Saccharomyces cerevisiae S288C: one gene and its partners. Each later gene encodes a partner of the first gene's protein in a complex. Each region holds a gene or a part of one and is shown in the gene's direction. Other genes may lie near its edges. The genes, in order: MRPL22, MRPL1, MRPL44 and RTC6.

Region 1 (5,312 bases):
GCGGTTCGCATATTAGTAATACACTGATAATCGCCGTACACTCATAAAATCCTAAACTACTCACCAGGTACCGAAACACTACTGATCCGTTTTTTGGACTGGTTGTTGGCACACTTTCGCTTAAGACACACATTTAGTATTTCAATCCCCATCCGTCGATATCTGAAGGAAATCTAAAAGAAAAGCTGGATAGAGTAATTATTTTGGCCATCGTATGAACTCCAATAGTACCATCGGAAGGACCACCCTTGGAGAATCTGATACGATATCCCTGTCATTCAGTGAACCAAGTAGCAGTCTGAATTCACGATCAACGGATGTTGTCTTCGCATCTACTTCAACTTTAGTACCCCAACAAGGAAGTCTGACCTCATTACCGCCCGTGTCTAGTACAGCTACTCCTACATATTATTCTACAAGCTTAACATATGATGAGACTTTGCATACATCCATTGATGTATCTTCGACAAGTACTTTAGTATCATCTACCGACAGCAGTTCATCGAGCGAGCAAGATACGTATAGTTCCCAATATGACCCAGCTACCTCCTCATACTCAATAATTACACCATCCATGTCCATTTTCTCATCGACGTCACCAATGTCATCATCGTCGTCAATAACGTCGGAATGGTCATCGTTAACATCAACAACACCAACGTTATCGTCATCAGCTACATCGCTGTCATCATCATGGTCGTCGTTATCATCACCATCTTCGTTACTGGTATCGTCCTCGTTGTCATTATCACTATCTTCATCATATTCAGACACTAAATTGTTTTCGTTCGACAGCAGATCTTCTATTTTCTCACCATCAACACCCACCGTAATATCCCCTAGTTACACATACTTGTCTTCCATATCTGCAACTTCATTTCAAATTAGTACCACTTCAGAACTCTCTTCTAGTTGGTTCTCAACAATTTCTTCTCCTTCTACGATATCAAATAAAGATACCACATTCCCAAGTTCCAGTCGGAATACTTCCACATCGTTTTACAGTTCATCGCTTTCATCGACGAACGATTTTTCAACCATAAGCAAATCATCGAAACTCAGTCCATCAGCTTCATCTTCGACAGTTTCCATAAGCACGATTTCCGTGCCAACGTCAAGTTCTGTTAGCTCATCCAGCAGTAAAGTACCTTCAAACCGTCCTTCATCATCATCATCATCAGATGATACAACAAGTGCTTACTCAAGCACGTATACTTTTCAGTCCTTACAATCTACTACTAGCAGCAGTATACCACCCACCACTCAAACACCCAGCACTAGTACGATTTCTACGTCTCCCATACCAACATCCAGTCAGGTCTTCAATACGGTAGCCATTTCAAGCTCCGAAGATTCAAAAACTATTTATTATTTCTATACCCAAACATATGATATTACTGACTCCTCTACAACGTTCGTGACGGGATTACCTACGACCATAGCAGTTGCAAAAAGTGAGGTAACCTCATTTTCCGCTCCATCTTCGACGATCACAGCTGACATGTCTTTCTATCAGCACTGGCTTGATGGCAGTTTGGATAATAACAAAAACCAAGGCACTTCAAAGACAAATACTGGTACCATTGTTGGAAGTGTGGTAGGAAGCGTCGGTGGTATTCTTATATGTGTACTAGTAGTTTGGTTCATGCTGGTTAGAAAAAGGAAGGCAAAGAGGCATTTCAAGGAAAACGATTCCTTCTGTCACGAGATTGGGCGCAGAACGGGATTCCCAACAACTGCCCAAGCAAAAGAGGCGTCACTTCAAGCTCAAGACTCGGGATCACAGCAACGAAACACCGAGACTGCTTCTGCTAATAATCCGTTCAGCAACGAATTCAATTTTAAGGCAAGAGGAAATCCTCCTCCAGTGCCACCACCAAGGAATGTTACCGCAATGAATGGCTCCTTTCAAAATATGCGGAGTAATTTCATGGACCAGGAAAACAGATTTTCCTATGGCTCTTCATTTACATATTCGTCATTGGGTTCATCTACTCAAGGTGGCTTTTCTACTTTATCTTCAAATTCGATACGACTCGGACGTGGTTTAGATAATGACATCTCTCATGATGAGAGAAATACAGTTCAGAACAATTCACAAGGGTTCTTGAGGGAAATTATATGACGATGACTTCAGTCTATTAGTATGATGTTTACTAATTAAGCAAAATCAGCTCTTGCTGAATAACACTACTATTAAAAATCATAAAAACATCTTTATTGCCAATAGTGAAGAACGACAAGGCCTTTTAAAAGGCATAAAAAACAATGATACCATTCTGCAATGAAAAAAAAAGAAAACTTTGTTCTTTGTGTATAAAGAAAATATTTTAGTTCTCCTAAATAAATAAATACTAAATTATACGAAACTCTTTCAGTCTTTTCTCCTGCTTGCTGCTTGAACAGTACTCATGATATTCTATTAATCTTCTGTGGGCGGGGTAACTAAGCCTTCACTGTACTCGGGATTTTGAATAAAAGTCAACTATCCAATCTGGAAGGCATTTTAACATACGCCATTAGGAGCCGCATAGCAAGTCAGAGAACCTCACCTCACCCTATCTTTTTTATTAAAGAAAATGAACTTCCACACGGCAAGAATATCTCAGGTCGGTGTCATTTCTAGGGCTCTACTTTCTTCTGTAAGTAGACGTTGGATTCATGTAACGCCAATAAGTCTTAATAATTCAGGAGGATCACTATTCGGAAGCATTACAGAAAATAAACCAAAGGAAGGAAAAAACAGGGGGGATGAAGATGCAGGCAGCTTCTCTAATAGGTTAGCGATTGCTTCTGATTCTTCTGGAGAGGCTCCTGAAGTTAATAGGGATTCAATAACCATAGAAAACGATAAACTACTACAGCAACATATCATATCGTTGCAGCAACCGGAACAATTAGCATCACAGAGCTTATTATCTCCTTTGAAAAGGGAAATATATGAAGCTAATTGTAAAATTAATGGTGGGTTTTACAAGAAAGATACTATTGTAAAGTTACCAAATTCTAGCGAACGTTACAAGCTAAAGTTAACAAAAAGAGAAATTGAAGTACTAGAACCTTCCGTATATGCTCAGTCATATAGAATTAAATCGTCGATGAAAAAGGCTACACTTTTGTTGAGGTTATTGGGAGGCCTCGACGTTATGAAAGCTATATCTCAGTGTCACTTTTCTAATAAGAAAATTGCTCGCGAAGTAGCAGAACTACTTCAAAAAGGTGTAAAAGATGGCCAAAAATTAGGTTTGAAACCAGAGGACTTATATATCTCTCAGATTTGGACAGGGAGTGACGGGTTTTGGAGAAAACGTGTTGAATTCAAGGCAAGGACAAGAATCGGAATCATAAGTCATCCTTACATACATGTCAGATGTATTCTGAGAACAAAGAGTGTTACGAAACGAAGACTTGCTTATGAAGCACATTTAAAAGAGCAAAAAAGAGCGCCATGGGTACAGTTGGGAGATAAGCCCATTAGGGGTGTTACAGGCGGCGTATACAAGTGGTGAAAACGATAGCGAACTCATTCATATCCGAGAAATCGTCCTGTAAGCTGAGAAAGATGAACTGCTACTCACTTCTTAACCTATATTCACAGTTGTGTTGTACAAAACTTTTCTTTTGATTATATAATATTGTGATTCTGTAAATAACAACTAGTTTCAACGCACTGCTTCAACGTGCACCCTCCTGACTAAACACGGCAATATGCAAGAAACCGCAACAATTAAGTGCACTAGAATAGAAGAAATTATTGTACTTATAGTTTATTTATGTATTTAATAATTAAATCTAAGCTTCAACTGGTTCAGCTTGAGCTTCAGTTTCTTCAGCTGGTCTGTAGTCCTTGACAGATGGAGCAAGAATTGGTTCTTCTTCTTTTGGTTCAATGATGGTGACAGCATCTGGCAAAGCCTTTGGACCAGTTCTGCTCTTAGCTGGGTCTCTCATAATCTTAACCTTGATACCCAAAACACCTTGTCTCATCAAGACGTGTCTAGTAGCAGTGTCAATGAAGTCGTTGACTGGTTGACCAGAGTGAATCAAGAAACCGTCAGCAAATTTCATAGCCTTAGCTCTGGCAGCTCTTAGTTTACCGGAAACAACAACTTCACAACCCTTAGCACCAGATTCCATAACGTATCTGACGACACCGTAAGCAGCTCTTCTGATAGCCAAACCGTTCAACAATTTGAATTTCATAGATTCAGCTTGAGCGACAGCGGACAAACCACGGTCTTGAACTCTTTCAGCATATAAGACAATAGTACCTGGAGCGTACTTGAATCTCTTTTGAACCAACAAAGTTAATTCGTTGATTCTTCTACCGTTTTCACCCAAAACATCTTGAGTTCTGGTAGCTCTGATGATAACTTCGGTCTTGGTTGGAGTGACACGGACTTCAACACCGGAGTAACCTTCTTCAGCTAATTCTCTGGTGAAGAATTCGTTCAATTCAGCGTAGAAGACACCGTCAGCGACTAGCTTTCTTTTCTTAGAGATTAAAGCGACCATTTTTGTAGTTTGTTTGCTGTTTTATTTTCAGTTATCAAAACAATGTTCAAAAACTAATCTAACAATATCTACAAACTAGAAATTGCTTAAAATGTATGAAAAATGCTGTTGTATTTCAAAGAGCTGCATTGATTTGGAAAATTTACCACTGCCCATGGGAGAAAGGCTCGCGGCGCCTCATCTCAAGAAAAGAAAATGTTTTTTTCATAAAAAAAACAAACTTTACAGCAAGAATATTATACAGGAAAGGTATGGATGTTACGGAAACAAAAAACAGTCTCATTTAATCATGAGGAATTAGATTATTCCAAAGGAACATGAAAAGAAGTGAAATCAAGAAAAAAAAACAAGAGAATTTACCGGCGGCCAAAAATACTAACGTAATCCCGTTGACGTTTACGCATGCAGTGTTGTAGGCTCACCAGCAATTATGTTAGTTGAGATGTAACTGCTTCGCGTGAACACTACGTAAATGTTATTGTGTGGAACTGACGTGGACCTTTTCTGTGTTGCTTTTAGTATAACGATATCCATCCTTTTACTTGGATTTTCAAGGTATGTTGACCCTCAATAGTTTGAGCCAGCACGATGGCAGGCCCTTAGGCAAATCAAAAGCATCATGCGGCGGAGGATTTATCATCGTGATGTCATTTAGGATAACGCTATGCATCTTATGCCTGCTGCCAGACCGCGAATTTTTATTTTTTTTATGGTCTGCTTCTGGATCATGCGGGCCGGCCTTCTAAGACATTGACTACGCAGCCTTTCATGTACAATTTTACATTTGCCTGAGGATT
Region 2 (5,562 bases), on another chromosome or scaffold:
AATTTGAAGAATTCCGAAAGAAAGAAGTTGCTACAAACATTCCAAAAACAAACGAATAATGAGGAATATAGCTTTCGTACTTCCACTATAAAACAAACCAACTTTAACGGCCAGAAAAGTGTAGGAACGGTTTACACAGATGAGAATAATACCCCAATATTATTCAAGGAAAAGCATAAGGAGCAACTTTTTCCAACTGTGTATTCTTGTTGGGAATATCCTGCGTTATTGCCGATCGTTTTAACTCATGGATTTGTTATAGAAGAACATTTATTCAACGGCGCTAACTTAATGATTTCCGGTTCGATCCCACCCTTTGATCCTCGTTGTAAAATAGGTACTCTTTGTGGTATAGCTAGCAAACAGGCACCAGAAACTGTCTTAGCCATCGGTATTGTCGAATTAGATCTACCGTCCTTTGATAAAGTAATTGGTGAAACAGGAGTTGCTGTCAAAATCATACATCATTTCAATGATGGGCTCTCCAAAGTCTTTAAAATGAAATTGGAACCTCCATTTGTTCTCAGTACTCAATCAAAGGATAACAATATCAGTAGTAAACAGATAGAATCCTCGGAGCAAATCAAGGCTGTTGAAAAGGAACAAGAAGATGTAAAAGAAGCGTCTGTTGATGTAGAGGAGATTGCTGAAGTTCTAGACCATTTCACTGTGTCGGATGTAGATTATTTCATTACAAGAGCATTATATTATACCTTGACTCAAGATAAAGGTTTGGAATTACCCATTTCAGCTTCTAACTTCATCTCAAACCACATTATGCGTAATTTGCCTCCAATTGATCACAATGAAGTCAATGTAAAGAAAACTTCATGGAAAAAAAGCGCAAAATTTTTGAAACACTTCGAGAAAGAAGGCTTCTTGAAATTAAAAGGAAAGGGGGATGACTTAACTATTGTGGGCAAAAATACTGACAAGGATGAGTTAAAGAACTTTGTGCCATATAAGCTTGGTTGTAGCAAGTCTGCCACAGAAAGTAGGGAGAGCACAACCTCGAAGGAGAAAACATCTGGAATGATGTATTCACTGACTCTGTATAAACCCTTTAATCTTGCCAAAGATCTTTTGAAGGAGGTTAATTTGGCTTCTCACACGTACTACACCTCTCAGGACATTAGAAGCGCGGTTTCTCAGTATATTTCTGTCAAGAACCTAGCAGACACAAAAGATAAAGGAAAAGTTATTATGGACGATCTATTATTCGATATGGTCAATAAGAAGAAGAAAGTCTTGAATGCTTCACGTATCATTGCTAGAGGTGAAATTTTGCATCCCTTACTCACCAATAATTTTACCGAGTTCTATCAGATATTCAAAAGCGATGATACTCTCTTGTTCAAGGCGCCAATGAAGGGTTCCCTTCCGCATATTAAGATTATTACTGAAATGAAAATTGGCAGAAAAGTTATTACCAGAGTGAGCAATTTTGAAGTGTTTCAAGTCGACCCAGAATCACTTGCGGCTGACTTAAGAAAGATTTGTAGCGGATCGACAACAATAAGTGAATCACAAACATTCAAATGTGCTGAAGTGCAGGTTCAAGGTCCACACGGTCAATCGATCATTGATCACCTTAACAAGCTAGGTATTCCAAGCAAATGGATAGACTTTGAGAACAAGTTGAAGAAGAAAAAAAGAAAGTAGATTTATATCATATAAATGTTTAAATGCGTAAAAATGCCCGACATCAAAGCATATAGAACTTTTTTACCTAATCGAAGCTTTTCTAAAGTAGGTATTATGGTAGTCTTGAAACCCACAAAAAATATGAATGTATCATGGGAGGGAACGAAATGTTTTCAACAGCGGTAAAAATATACTATATTTGTATATCCAGTTCATCTTTACTATTCTCTATTTTTTAGTGTAACTTACATTATGAGACTAGCGACAAAATCTCCTTTTTAAGCGAAAAGAGAAAACTTTCGAAAAACCAAAGTATTTTGAAAAACGACCTGAAATAAAGGGAATTTGAAGAAAACTAAACAGTGATAAGTCATCAAAGAAGATGCTATCCGTAGTAGCGATCCCGAAAATATGTGTCACAGGTCCTGCAAGAAGATGCTTTTTTCATACTGCAAAAAAACTATACGCAGATGACTATAAACCAGCAGCTATGTCCTCCAATGCACCTTCGCTAACAAAAGACCAAGCCAAAAAAAGAGAGTTGAAAAGATTGGTACAACGAAAGGCCGAGGCAAAGAGACCAGCTACAGCAAGCCCATTGTACATGCCTGTTACAAAGGCACTAAGATATTTACGCGCAGCAGAAGTTGGCAGACCGCAATCGCAACAGACAATTAATTTGACTACATTGGTAGTCGGTGAAAGAGGTACAGCGCCTTTATCCGGTAGCGTGACATTTCCTAAGCCTTTGAGATATATCAAAATTGCTGCCTTTACCAACGACGAAAGTAAATTGGAAGAGCTTCGTGAGAAATACCCAAATCATTTGATTGGCGGAGCAGATCTTGTTGCCAAAATTAAAAGCGGTGAAATTAGCGTTGATTTTGACAAAGCATTTGCAACTCCTGATATTGTTCCAGCTTTACAATCGCAGGTGGCCAGGATACTTGGTCCTCGTGGGGTTTTACCCTCTGTCAAAAAAGGTACGGTGAGTGATGATATAAGCTCCTTACTTCAAGAAAGTCTAGGATCTATGCCTTTCAGGCAAAGGGGAAACTCTATCAGCATTGGAGTCGGCAAATGCTACTTCACTGATCGAGAAATTTTACAAAACATTATATCCGCTAGAGCGGCATTTAAAACTGCTGTTGATAATCAAAAATCTAAGAAACCAAATATACTGAGTAAAACCACATTATCAAGCACACATGGCCCCGGTATTGTAATCGATTTTGCTTAATCAGCGAATCAGTTTTGTCTTGTTGGACTTTTTTAATTGTATATATATATATACTGGTGCATTTTCTTTCTTTTTATATAAAATCATGTACATACAAAGTAACCGTCTTTTTAAAGTGGAATAAAGTAACTGCTCTTTTATTTTTGAATAATAGTGAAAGTGTATGTTGCATAATCATTAGATACCTATGTACAAGAAGTATTCAAATTTATCTGAATAGTATGTGAAATTTCAATGAGACAAAAACCACCTACCTTTGAGCTTCCTCCTTTTCAATATCTTAGAGCCCTGTTTGCTCTTGGCCCTAGCCAAGAAACCAAAAGTTCTCTTCCGTTTCAATGTACTAGGTTGATAGGTGTTACCCCTTGATTTCCATCTTCTTTGACCTATTAAGCCAAATCCCAACGGTGTGAAGGACGGAGTCTTCAATGGTGAACTGTTTAAGAGCATACCGGTTTGTGGGCGTAACACAGATAGAGCAGAGAAAGAAGATATAGATGAAAACATTCTTCTTGATTGAGGCTGGCAGAGCCTTGCAAATAGTGGCATTCCGTCCTGCGATTACTACTGTTCTATTCCAACGTTTCTCAGTGAGTTTCTCCTGTAGTTATTTCACTTGTTGTACCTCACAGCTTCTACGGGAAAATTGGCTTTTCAAATTCCTTACAGCTTTCGATCACGTGATCCGAGCTTCAAATGACCTTTCGACGATGCGTTTCATGATTATGTATATATATGTATATATATATATCTATACAGTCTTAAGGAAGCGCTTAAGTTGTTACATGTTAATACTTTAGGGTTGGATTTATTTTACGGATAACATAGGATTTGCGAGAAATATCTGCTTCACTATCACTTTCCGTGCGACGTGTGTATTTGTTAGCGTAGGTTGCTTATCGTTTTCACACAAAGATCTCAAACGCGTCAAAAAACTCGTGTAAGAGGTCAAAAAGAAAAACAAACAAAATAAACAAACAAAATAAATGCAGCTTTAAATCAATATTCGGCGAAGGCAAGTAACGGTTGCTAGCGGTTTTTCCCATTCACATACTATTACACTTCTGCGGTACCAAGCTAGATTAAGTGCTAGATAATAAACCTTTATGATGCCAGCTAACGAAGATAAAGAGAATAATATCGTATATACAGGGAATGAAAGTTCCGGCATTAACTTTCCACAGACGCCGGCTCACTTGCTGAAAAGGTCGCACTCTAATATTTTAAAACCACCTGTAAGATTGGACCAACTCAAAAGGGATGCGAACAGCAACAATGGCAACACATTAAAGTACATACAAGGAGGGAAGGAGGTGTCACCCACAAAAAGGTTGCATACCCATGCGCAACAACAAGGAAGATTGCCTCTGGCAGCAAAAGACAACAATAGATCGAAAAGCTTTATTTTTCCCGAAACTTCTAATCAGAGTAAAGATGCAGACTTACCACAACTACAGAATACACTATCTATACGCAAAAACGACCAACTCAGGAAACTTTCGCAAATTTCTCGCAGTCGTAGTAGGGCCAACCATAATGATTTGTTAAGCAATTCAAGAAAGTTACAAAAGTACGGTTCTGTCCTTGGTTATAATGCTTTACCTAAAATGAAAAGTCTAGTTTTAAAAGATCTTGCAGATTCAGGTAAAAATGAAGAGAGTTCCGACGATGATGAAGGTAATGAAGATTCCGAGAGTAAACTTGGCAAAAAACTCCAAAGTGCACTTTTAAAACAGGATTCCTCCGACGGTGAAAATGAATTAAATGGTGGCCTAGGACTATTTAATGAGCAAGGTGGTCTGCAACAACTCATAAAGAACTCCACGAAGAATGAGCAAAAAACTAAAAACGATAAAAGTGATAAAACTGATGACTATGATATCGAAATAGCACCACAGAGGCAGGAGCCGTTACCGTATGTACCAGAAGGCTATTCCCCATTTCAACAAGATGATATTGAAAAGCTGAAGACGTTCAACTCACCATATAAGCTTGACTTGGAAGACGAAGATGACACCCCAGATAAAGTTGATTTACTCCCACTAGAACAAATTGATGAAGAAGGCGAAAAAGATGAGACTGAGTGCATCACTCGGAATCAAGAAGAAGGTGCAGCGTTACCACTGCTGTCTAAGAACTTCAAAGAAGTTGCCGCCGTCCCAACCATGGAGTTAGTGTACAGCGAAGAAGGCCTCGATCCTGAAGAACTAGAGGACTTAGTTACTTAGATCCACTGCTCATTCACATACACACAACATATATACACGTATATACAGATACTTTATAACATACAATTCTGGTTAAAAGCGGTTGCTCCTGCCGCCGGGATTTAATCTGCGGCCTCACCCATACCTCAACTACCGCCATTGTTCGTACGTTTTAAATGGCTTCGCTTCACCCTTGATTGGCAAAGGGTCCAAGAGGGATCACATCACGATACTATTGTTTCTACTAATGTGCTGCGGGCTGATGTCCTCCACACGTCTTCAATTGCTTCTCTTTATGGGTTCTCAAAGTACTTCGTCATAATTACTTCATTATACCTAAGAAAATAATTTCATTTTTTTTCTGAATTTTTTAGCAGAAAAAAAAAAAGTTCAAGTTTGGCCTCATTCGCAATATTTTCTCCATGGAAACGGCTTGTATCTTGAGGCTTCTCCTACTTGTTTGGCGATTTT
Region 3 (4,923 bases), on another chromosome or scaffold:
CGAAGTCAATTGGGTCCATTTCTACTAACGCAATTGGCTTTCCCTTTGTAGGCCATATTTCCGCAGCACTAAATAAAATGGGATCCCATTCTTCTATGCATTGACTATCAAATCCCTTCAATTCATTTGCGTCTGATATGGCAATGAGTTTAGTATCTGTAAATGCCTCCCTTACTACTGAACATTTGGATCTAGAATGCATGCCTGGCCTAGCTAGAAGTTTTCTAGCTGTTGTGCTTGGCATCCATAATAACATCTTTACTTTACCAAACCTATACAACCAGTTCTTGTTTCCAATACAGGACAGCCACTGCATTATAAGACCTTCAGAACCCTCCCCCGTCACATTAGCAACGGTTAGAAATTTATCATTAATATGATCTGAGGATTGAACTTCAGGAACAAATATTCGCTCTTCGTCAATTAGATTCGAGTAGGTTGACCAGTCATATGGATCTCTTTTTAGAATTTGCAATGGAGACCCTTCGAATTTTGCATTCAGAAACTTGTAGAGACTTGAGCGTTTTTCTAATAAAGAATATTGCCTGGGGCAATATTTATTATAAAAAATAGCTGATTGTATACCAACACCAGGGTAGAGGTCAAGTACTTTCAATTCTTCTGGATGTTTATACGTTTTAGTTAAATCCAGCTTATCAAAGATTTTATTGTATACTGTTGGATTCCATAAATATTTGAAACCATAAAAGAACTTAAGTTTGGAGATATCTTTAATACCAGGGATTGGAACAGACATAGTTGCTGAGCCTTCTTACTTCAAAGAATGGTATTGACTGACGTAGTAACCGCATTTGTAAAGTTTCATCTCTATTATCATCATACAATAATATCGCTGTTATTCGGCCGATGAGAACAGTAAATAAAATTTCAAGACAAAACTTGCTAGCAAAAATAATAAAAGCGAGAAGAATAGGAAGAACTACATAAACAAGAGACAGTGTTACCATTCAAATTAGTCGCAATAATCGACGTAAATATGGCTGTTATAAGAATTAAAAAACCCAGAGGACCAGGAGAGAAGGATCAACCATTAGAAGGCGAGCCTAAACTAAAGAGAATTCGCATAAAGACAAAGGTAACTGATGAAGATATCAAACCAAAGCCTAAATTAAAGATAAACCTAAAGAAAAAGAAAGAGAGTGCTGACGGCAAAGAGAAGAAGAATTCATTGAAGTTAAAGTTAAACTTGAAAAAAAATGAAGAACCAGTTAAGAAGATACACAAGGCGCCAAAGCTACGTCTCAAACCTATTAGAATTCCTGGGGAAGCGTACGACTCAGAAGCCTCTGATATTGAAGATGACCCTCTCATAGAGAGTGGTGTGATATTAAGGATACTTCCAGACATACAGTTAGAGTTTGTAAAAAATTCGTTAGAATCAGGTGATTATTCTGGGATAAGTATCAAGTGGAAAAACGAGAGACACGCTGTCGTAACAATAAACGATGTAATGTATGGTGCCATTCTAGTAGATTTGCCTACAGTTATAGAAGTGAACAAGAGCGTCGATAGAAAAAACCTCCTGAAGACATTTGACGTATCACAAATGCTACTATGCATAAGACCTATACAAGAAGAGGAAGAAGTATATGCCCTAGAAGCCCCTGATACAGAAGATCTGGTTGTTAAGCATTTTGAAGGCATAGAGGATGAAATTTGGGAGAATAAAGAAACCTTCTTAAAAGGATACAATGGTGCGCCTTTAAGTGATATGGAGGCTAAACATTTGAAAGAAATAGCTTTGAAGGGCTATGACTACAAACATGGAATATCACCACCTTTGTACAATGTTCGAAATAGACGATTTAGACGGAAAATGGACCCTAATGAAATAGACTATGTAGAAAAAGTGGTTGATATGCTTTTGAAGCAAGATAAACAGGCAGAAGAGGTCAGCTATGATCTGGTTGATAAAAGTGAACTGCAAGCGAGGCAAGAGCGTGTTTCTAGTTGGGAAAATTTCAAAGAGGAGCCTGGAGAGCCTTTATCTAGACCTGCTTTAAAGAAAGAAGAGATACACACAATTGCTTCGGCAGTAGGAAAACAAGGTGCAGAAGAAGAGGGAGAAGAAGGAATGGAAGAAGAAGAAGAGGAGGATCTTGACCTAGGCGCTGCTTTTGAAAGTGAAGAGGAAGGTAGCGGTGCCGAGGGAGACAAGGAGCAACAACAAGAGGAAGTCGGTGATGAGGTGGATCAAGACACAGGCGGAGAAGATGATGACGATGATGACGACGGTGACATTGAAGCTGCTGGTGGGGAAAGTGAATCTGATGACGAAAAAGACGAAAACAGACAGCACACTGAATTACTTGCGGACGAATTGAACGAACTAGAGACCACCCTGGCCCATACCAAGCATAAATTAAGTAAAGCCACGAATCCTCTTTTGAAAAGCAGGTTCATAGATAGCATTAAAAAGCTCGAGAAGGAGGCTGAACTAAAACGTAAGCAGTTACAACAAACCGAAGATTCTGTCCAGAAACAACATCAACATCGCTCTGACGCAGAAACTGCAAATAACGTCGAGGAAGAAGAAGAGGAAGAGGAAGAAGAAGAGGAAGAGGATGAAGTGGACGAAGACGAGGAGGATGACGAAGAAAACGATGAGGACGAGGATAATGTGCATGAACGGGAACACATACAAGAGAACAAGGTGGTGCGCGAACTTGATGAAGCCCCCGCAGAGGAAACACTCGACCAGAACGATCTCGATATGATGATGCTATTTGGTGCAGAGGGTGATGAGTAAGTTCTCTTTATCATCTATATATTACTCTTATACACTATACGACTCTACTCTATGACGTATAGCATTGATATATATTAAGGCACGACACCGATTTTTCTTATCGGAGCGATATAAAAAGCTGAAGAAAGGAGGATAGATGAAACAGCATGGCGCATAGAAAGTGTTCAAGCTCACTAGTAAAGGCGGGAAATAGAACATTGAGAACGTATTTTGATAATGTCCCAAGGTAGAAAAGCTGCAGAAAGATTGGCTAAGAAGACTGTCCTCATTACAGGTGCATCTGCTGGTATTGGTAAGGCGACCGCATTAGAGTACTTGGAGGCATCCAATGGTGATATGAAACTGATCTTGGCTGCTAGAAGATTAGAAAAGCTCGAGGAATTGAAGAAGACCATTGATCAAGAGTTTCCAAACGCAAAAGTTCATGTGGCCCAGCTGGATATCACTCAAGCAGAAAAAATCAAGCCCTTCATTGAAAACTTGCCACAAGAGTTCAAGGATATTGACATTCTGGTGAACAATGCCGGAAAGGCTCTTGGCAGTGACCGTGTGGGCCAGATCGCAACGGAGGATATCCAGGACGTGTTTGACACCAACGTCACGGCTTTAATCAATATCACACAAGCTGTACTGCCCATATTCCAAGCCAAGAATTCAGGAGATATTGTAAATTTGGGTTCAATCGCTGGCAGAGACGCATACCCAACAGGTTCTATCTATTGTGCCTCTAAGTTTGCCGTGGGGGCGTTCACTGATAGTTTGAGAAAGGAGCTCATCAACACTAAAATTAGAGTCATTCTAATTGCACCAGGGCTAGTCGAGACTGAATTTTCACTAGTTAGATACAGAGGTAACGAGGAACAAGCCAAGAATGTTTACAAGGATACTACCCCATTGATGGCTGATGACGTGGCTGATCTGATCGTCTATGCAACTTCCAGAAAACAAAATACTGTAATTGCAGACACTTTAATCTTTCCAACAAACCAAGCGTCACCTCATCATATCTTCCGTGGATAAACCTAGCTAAACTAAGTAAATCTGTATACTTTTTATACATGTAAGACTTTTTAGCTATTTCATTCTTCCCTGAACCGTTTTGCGCGATTCTACGGAATATACCGGCGAAATAAAAGAGATAAACTTATGGATCCTCAAATAGAGGATGAACAGATGTGAAGAAGAAACGAGCTTAATTATATCTTCGCCATGATAACTAAATACTTCAGTAAGGTAATTGTCAGGTTTAATCCCTTTGGCAAGGAAGGTATGTATTTTTTTTCGCTCTGTTATTCGTTCTCCTTACCTTTGGCCATCATGATTTAAAGATTTGGCTAAACTAGGCTGAGGTAGGCTCGAACCGATCTATCACAAATACTAACAGCAAATGATATGGTCATATCATTGATTTCAGCGAAAGTTGCTAGGTTAGTACTTGCTGCCATTCCACCAACGCAACGAAACATGGGCACGCAGATTCAATCGGAAATTATCTCAGATTACAATAAAGTCAAGCCTCTTGTGAAAGTAACCTACAAGGACAAAAAAGAAATGGAAGTCGATCCATCAAACATGAACTTTCAGGAATTAGCCAATCATTTCGACCGTCACTCGAAACAGCTGGATCTCAAACATATGTTGGAAATGCATTGAGAAAATAAAGGCATCTACAAATCTCATTGTAGGCATGCACGTTTCTAATATTCTAACAAAAACAAAGTCAGAGTTCACAAGCAAGCCTGTAAATAATATATATGCAATTACACAAACGTATAGATAGATATACCCAACCAAACTGACTTAAGGTTTAAATAGTATGGCCAATCGAATAGAACCCAAACATTATAGCCATATTAAATTACTCTTTACGCTTGTAAGGAAGACAATGTGGAAACAACATTAAGAGAATGCAGACAATTGACGCAAGTTGTACCTGCTCAGATCCGATAAAACTCGACTATGGACTATCCTGATCCAGACACAATAAGGATTTTAATTACTACAGATAATCATGTGGGTTACAACGAAAATGATCCCATTACTGGCGATGATTCTTGGAAAACTTTCCATGAAGTCATGATGCTGGCCAAAAATAACAACGTAGACATGGTTGTACAGTCCGGTGATCTTTTTCACGTGAATAAGCCTTCCAA
Region 4 (4,608 bases), on another chromosome or scaffold:
TCCATACAAAGAACTCATTGCATAAAACTGCGCAGCAGCAGTAGGATCAATGAATGTTACAAAACAGACGTATCGATCGTTCAATAGTTTTATACTTTGTAATAAACCTCCACGAACTGCATTACATATTTCTTCAATTTTAACATCCTTAGGCAAGCTGCCCAGGTAAACAGTCCTGTTACCCAAGTTATTGGGGCCGCCCGCAGATGTAGCAATTGCAGCAGCAGCAGCAGACTGTTGTAACAAAGCGTTAGATATAAATTCACGATCAGAAAACTCTATCATATGTTCCATACCAGGTTGTACACCTAGAAATTGAGCCGCATTATGTTGTTGAGTTTTGGTAATAAATGCACATCTGTCCTTTCCATAAAATATTCTCTTATTTTGATAGTATGGATTTCTAATTGGCAGATTCGTAACCACTTTTATAGCATTTAAAATAGACGCAAAATGAATAAAGGCGATTCCCTTTTCCTTGATAATTTTTATACAGTCAATTTCACCATATTCTTCTAAATCAACCCTCAATTGCTCCTCAGATAAATGTGATTCTTCGCCTTCAATCGTCATACGGCCAATGTATACATTTCTTGTGGCACCGTCCGTAGAGATTCTAGCCGCTACAATAGGATCAATTCGAGTTGGTTTCCCCCACCCGATTTTGATATCCCTGTCACCGATGTTCAAGCGCTTTAAAATTGCGTCTGAATGGAACAATAGTGCAGCACTTTCATCTATAAACGAAACGAATGCACACATCTTTTCAGGTATGATTTTGACGTCTTCAACGACACCACTTCTGACATGATCCAATAACTCTTTAACGCTTAGGTTTGGTGGCACATTACCCAAATAAACAGTTCTACTTGGGGCCGATGTAAAATTCAAAGGATTATTGGCTTGTGCATTAACTGGTAAAGGCGCATTTGCGTTGGTTACTGCAGTTGCAGTTGCCATAATAGTGGGTGACATGCCATCAGATAACACATTTGGATTCTCATCATCAAAAGGAGAGACTTCATTTGATGACCTTTCATATTCATAATAACGATTGTTATTGTGGACAACTTCGTTATCAATTTCGAAATTTTGTTCCTGTGAAAACCGTTGCTGTTGTGAATCATTTCGCTGCTTTGTCTGGAATTGAGTTGGTTGCTGTTGAATACGCTGATAATCAAAAATTCCGTCATTCTCGTAAAAGAACGAATCATTAGGCTCTCGTGTAAAGTCGGATGGTAAAAGAGTAAAATTACCATTCATAGGATACACAGCATCGCCAAAGTTTTGAGGGCCACTCGCATAAGTTTCTTGGTAAGGGCCGGAAGAACTGGACTGTTGATACATTGCAAAGTCATCGGAAGAAGGAAAAGGAGGGAACATGTTATTATTGTTATTATTATTACTGATATTATTATTGTTATTGTTATTGTTATTGTTATTATTATTGTTATAAGAAACCACCATGTTTTAATGCAATTGAAGTAGTATGTGATGGTGAAGAAAAAAAAAAATACAACGATAGTTCTTTGTTTTTCTTTAGGAAATATCTGAATAGAAAAGGCTTCAACGACCAGAATTGAAAAAATAAAATAGTATTAGCAAAGAAAAATATGATATTTTTTTTCAAAAAAAAAAAGAGTGTCCTTGAGAATTGAAGTTGGAAACGGATATTAATTAGACAAAAAAAATGATGAAGAAAGATAAAGTGAAAAATATGAGGCTGGAATGGACAGTTGAACCAATTAAGGAGCCTAATTGGTAAAGCAGAACAGGTGAGTCAGAAGACTTAAAAAGGGGCAAATATCAAATAACGGAAGAACGAAGAAAATAGAAGAATACAATGTTCAAAAGAAATGAAGCGTATGTGTATCTAAAGGAAAGGTACAGAGACTATCAGTTCTAGAAATTGTAAATTGGTAAAATAAACAGAGAAAGGAAGCTTAAGGAGAGAATTCAGTGGGGAATGTGACTCTGTGAAAATAATGTATAAGAGTGGGCAACGGTGTTCTCGTAGATATAGCGCTGTGCTGAACCAAGTTTAGTTTTTTTTACTTTCCACCAAAGGCAAAGAAACTGATTAATTTATTGCTGTGACGAAGGGATGGAGTATGATTGCGGTTGTGACTGAATCTCTTTGTAGACTTTCGGACAACCACAAGATCCACTTTCTGGTAAAGTTAATTTCAAGATCGTGTTTTTTTCTGTCTTTTCTTTCTCTTCTCATAGCCAAAATCGTACCACAAGGAAAAAAAGCACCGGGTTACCATGATGGTGGAATCCCACTGTAAGAACATAAGAATGATAAGTACGCAACTGCCACGGCAGTTGGAAGAAAGACATAGTCTGCCCTCATTCGGCGTGTATTATTGGACGTCAAGTTACCTTTTCCAAGTGTTTCCCTTTTTTGTCTTTTGAATTTGTCAATAGGGAGTGAAAGGTCCATAGTTCAAGGGCATTCCAAAAGTGAGGATAAAAAAAGCGTAGTCATAAACACTTCAACGGTGTTGCCGAGAATGACGACGGTCCGGTAGAAGGTGGTGCTTTTATCTATGTATTAGTTATTTACTATCTGCGTAACGAAACTATGATTTTTTTTTTCTCTCACCCAAGCCGAAATTAAAAATTCTGTCTTCGCACTTATTCCAAATAGAAAGGGAATGAATCGTGGAACTATTGGCATTGGGATATAGCCTCGATCTACTCGCATATAACGGCTACGGTTCATAGTACAAATCTCAGAATTTTTCAGCAAGCGAAAGGATTTCAAAGAATGTTTTTACAGACTCTCCGCCTAACTATGCCAAGGATGTTTTTGCACATGAAACCGTCCCCCATAACGATAACAAGGGCCTGCACAGTGCCCAGCCTCCTATCTGTTGCAGCTCCGCAACCAGCTCTTGTTGCAGCTAACAGACCTTTGGTTTTTAACAGAGGTTTCAAGGTCAGAACATCTGTCAAAAAGTTCTGCAGTGATTGCTACTTGGTAAGAAGAAAGGGAAGAGTATACATTTATTGCAAGTCGAATAAAAAACACAAACAGCGTCAAGGCTGAAAGATGTAAATCTCTTCGCTGTTCTCCGTTCGGGTGTTTACAAAATATTCTCATTTTCTAAAATCTGTAAATAATACATATCTATAATATTCTTTTATGTATATGTTAATTTTTTGTATCATTTTTTCCAAATTGATAAACCAACACCTCCGATCAGTAACGTTTTCTCAGAATCAGCATCTTCATCATTGGAAATGATTTCTAATGATCCTGTATCCGCCACAGTGGTACGCTTTTTATCTACCAGTGAAAGCTTGCCTGCGGTAATTTCCCAAGCGCGTATTACTTGATCAACCGATGTGGTAATGACTTCTTTGCCACCATTAATCAACATACCGGACGTTATTGTCGAAGAAGCTGCTGCAGCGATAAAGTCACTTGTTTTTAACGTTACTTTATTCGAGTCATCTAATTTCAGGTTGCTTAACCCTAAACCATTATCATCACCCCCTGTCAAAATTGTGGCGGAAGTTCTTGTAGCATTAGCAACATAGTCTAGGGACTTGACACCAGATTGATGTACCGGCAACTGCGCTACAGGTGCGGGAAGATTTGAGATAGTAGCGTCCAGTTTGTGGTCAACCAAATCGCCAGAAATCGGATCAACGGAAAATGGTACGTACTCGGTTATATTATAAACCACTAAATGTCCATCAGTTGGTGAAATGACAACAAGGAGCTCTTCTTTCAGTGCAATAAATACGACGTTGAATAAACAGCACGTCTTATAACGACCTTGCATGATCAGGTCAAACTTATTCTGATTTTCCCTATAGTGCCAAATCTTTATTGTTGAATCTGAATAAACAGTAACTAATAAGAAGTCACCTGACTGTGATATAAATTTGACATCAAAATCCATGATCCTTAGATCAGAATTATTTGTGGATACAGGTAAAGCTTGTCGTATGGTCATATATGGTCGTTTATTATACTTATCGTTCAATTCCCATAAGAATAACTCCTCTCTAGCTGAAGATGATATCATTAGTTTGTGATTTATAAACTGACAACGTTGTAATCCAGACACATGCTTTCTTTGTGTCCAAAAATTCTGCACCTTCCCTGTTCTATTGTTAAAATATCCCAGCTTAATTGTAGTATCTTCAGATGCAGTACAGAATATATGCCCATCCTTAAAATTGTCATTCGTGTTGGTATTTGAAACAGGACAGATTGAAATATCTCTGATTTCCCTTCCGTGTACACCATTTTCTAAAGTTTCAGGCACAATGGAGTTGTAAATTTTCCTTAAATGAAATCGGGATGCCTTAATATACATTAATACGTGGCCATCAGTAATTTTTGCGAGATTCCACAGACGATGGGAACCACCACAAACTTCACTAGCTAGTTCATAACAGTTGGTTTCATTGTAGAGATAAAACAAGCTGGACTTGAACCCATAAGTAATGTATTCACCTTTTGAATTAAAGAAAGCGCCCTCCAAGAAACCTTTCATCATCTTATTAGAATGCAAGACCTTATAACTTAGTCGGTAGGGACCCTCTTCCAAACTGTTTTTCGTCAACTCAATAAATACATAATAGCCA

Evidence for each region.
Region 2: MRPL22 (region 1) and MRPL1 share a complex: the UniProt entries of both Saccharomyces cerevisiae proteins name them as parts of the mitochondrial large ribosomal subunit.
Region 3: MRPL22 (region 1) and MRPL44 share a complex: the UniProt entries of both Saccharomyces cerevisiae proteins name them as parts of the mitochondrial large ribosomal subunit.
Region 4: MRPL22 (region 1) and RTC6 share a complex: the UniProt entries of both Saccharomyces cerevisiae proteins name them as parts of the mitochondrial large ribosomal subunit.

Annotation. Positions count from the first base shown.
Region 1 is NC_001146.8:301,883-307,194, reverse strand, and holds MRPL22 (mitochondrial 54S ribosomal protein uL22m MRPL22), read left to right. Parts: upstream 1-2,579; coding exon 2,580-3,509; downstream 3,510-5,312. Other genes in the region: TDA7 (Tda7p), read left to right, coding at 215-2,125; 40S ribosomal protein uS3 RPS3, read right to left, coding at 3,793-4,515. UniProt on the Saccharomyces cerevisiae protein: Component of the mitochondrial ribosome (mitoribosome), a dedicated translation machinery responsible for the synthesis of mitochondrial genome-encoded proteins, including at least some of the essential transmembrane subunits of the mitochondrial respiratory chain.
Region 2 is NC_001136.10:680,046-685,607, reverse strand, and holds MRPL1 (mitochondrial 54S ribosomal protein uL1m MRPL1), read left to right. Parts: upstream 1-2,026; coding exon 2,027-2,884; downstream 2,885-5,562. Other genes in the region: TMA64 (Tma64p), read left to right, coding at 1-1,662; mitochondrial 54S ribosomal protein bL34m MRX14, read right to left, coding at 3,116-3,433; YDR114C (uncharacterized protein), read left to right, coding at 3,382-3,684; PDS1 (securin), read left to right, coding at 3,991-5,112. UniProt on the Saccharomyces cerevisiae protein: Component of the mitochondrial ribosome (mitoribosome), a dedicated translation machinery responsible for the synthesis of mitochondrial genome-encoded proteins, including at least some of the essential transmembrane subunits of the mitochondrial respiratory chain.
Region 3 is NC_001145.3:720,460-725,382, reverse strand, and holds MRPL44 (mitochondrial 54S ribosomal protein mL53 MRPL44), read left to right. Parts: upstream 1-3,979; coding exon 3,980-4,037; intron 4,038-4,184; coding exon 4,185-4,423; downstream 4,424-4,923. Other genes in the region: MTF1 (RNA polymerase specificity factor), read right to left, coding at 1-757; TATA-binding protein-associated factor TAF7, read left to right, coding at 998-2,770; ORA1 (oxidoreductase), read left to right, coding at 2,987-3,790; MRE11 (MRX complex nuclease subunit), read left to right, coding at 4,730-4,923. UniProt on the Saccharomyces cerevisiae protein: Component of the mitochondrial ribosome (mitoribosome), a dedicated translation machinery responsible for the synthesis of mitochondrial genome-encoded proteins, including at least some of the essential transmembrane subunits of the mitochondrial respiratory chain.
Region 4 is NC_001148.4:196,322-200,929, forward strand, and holds RTC6 (mitochondrial 54S ribosomal protein bL36m RTC6), read left to right. Parts: upstream 1-2,773; coding exon 2,774-3,055; downstream 3,056-4,608. Other genes in the region: MRN1 (Mrn1p), read right to left, coding at 1-1,467; tRNA (34-2'-O)-methyltransferase regulator RTT10, read right to left, coding at 3,174-4,608. UniProt on the Saccharomyces cerevisiae protein: Component of the mitochondrial ribosome (mitoribosome), a dedicated translation machinery responsible for the synthesis of mitochondrial genome-encoded proteins, including at least some of the essential transmembrane subunits of the mitochondrial respiratory chain.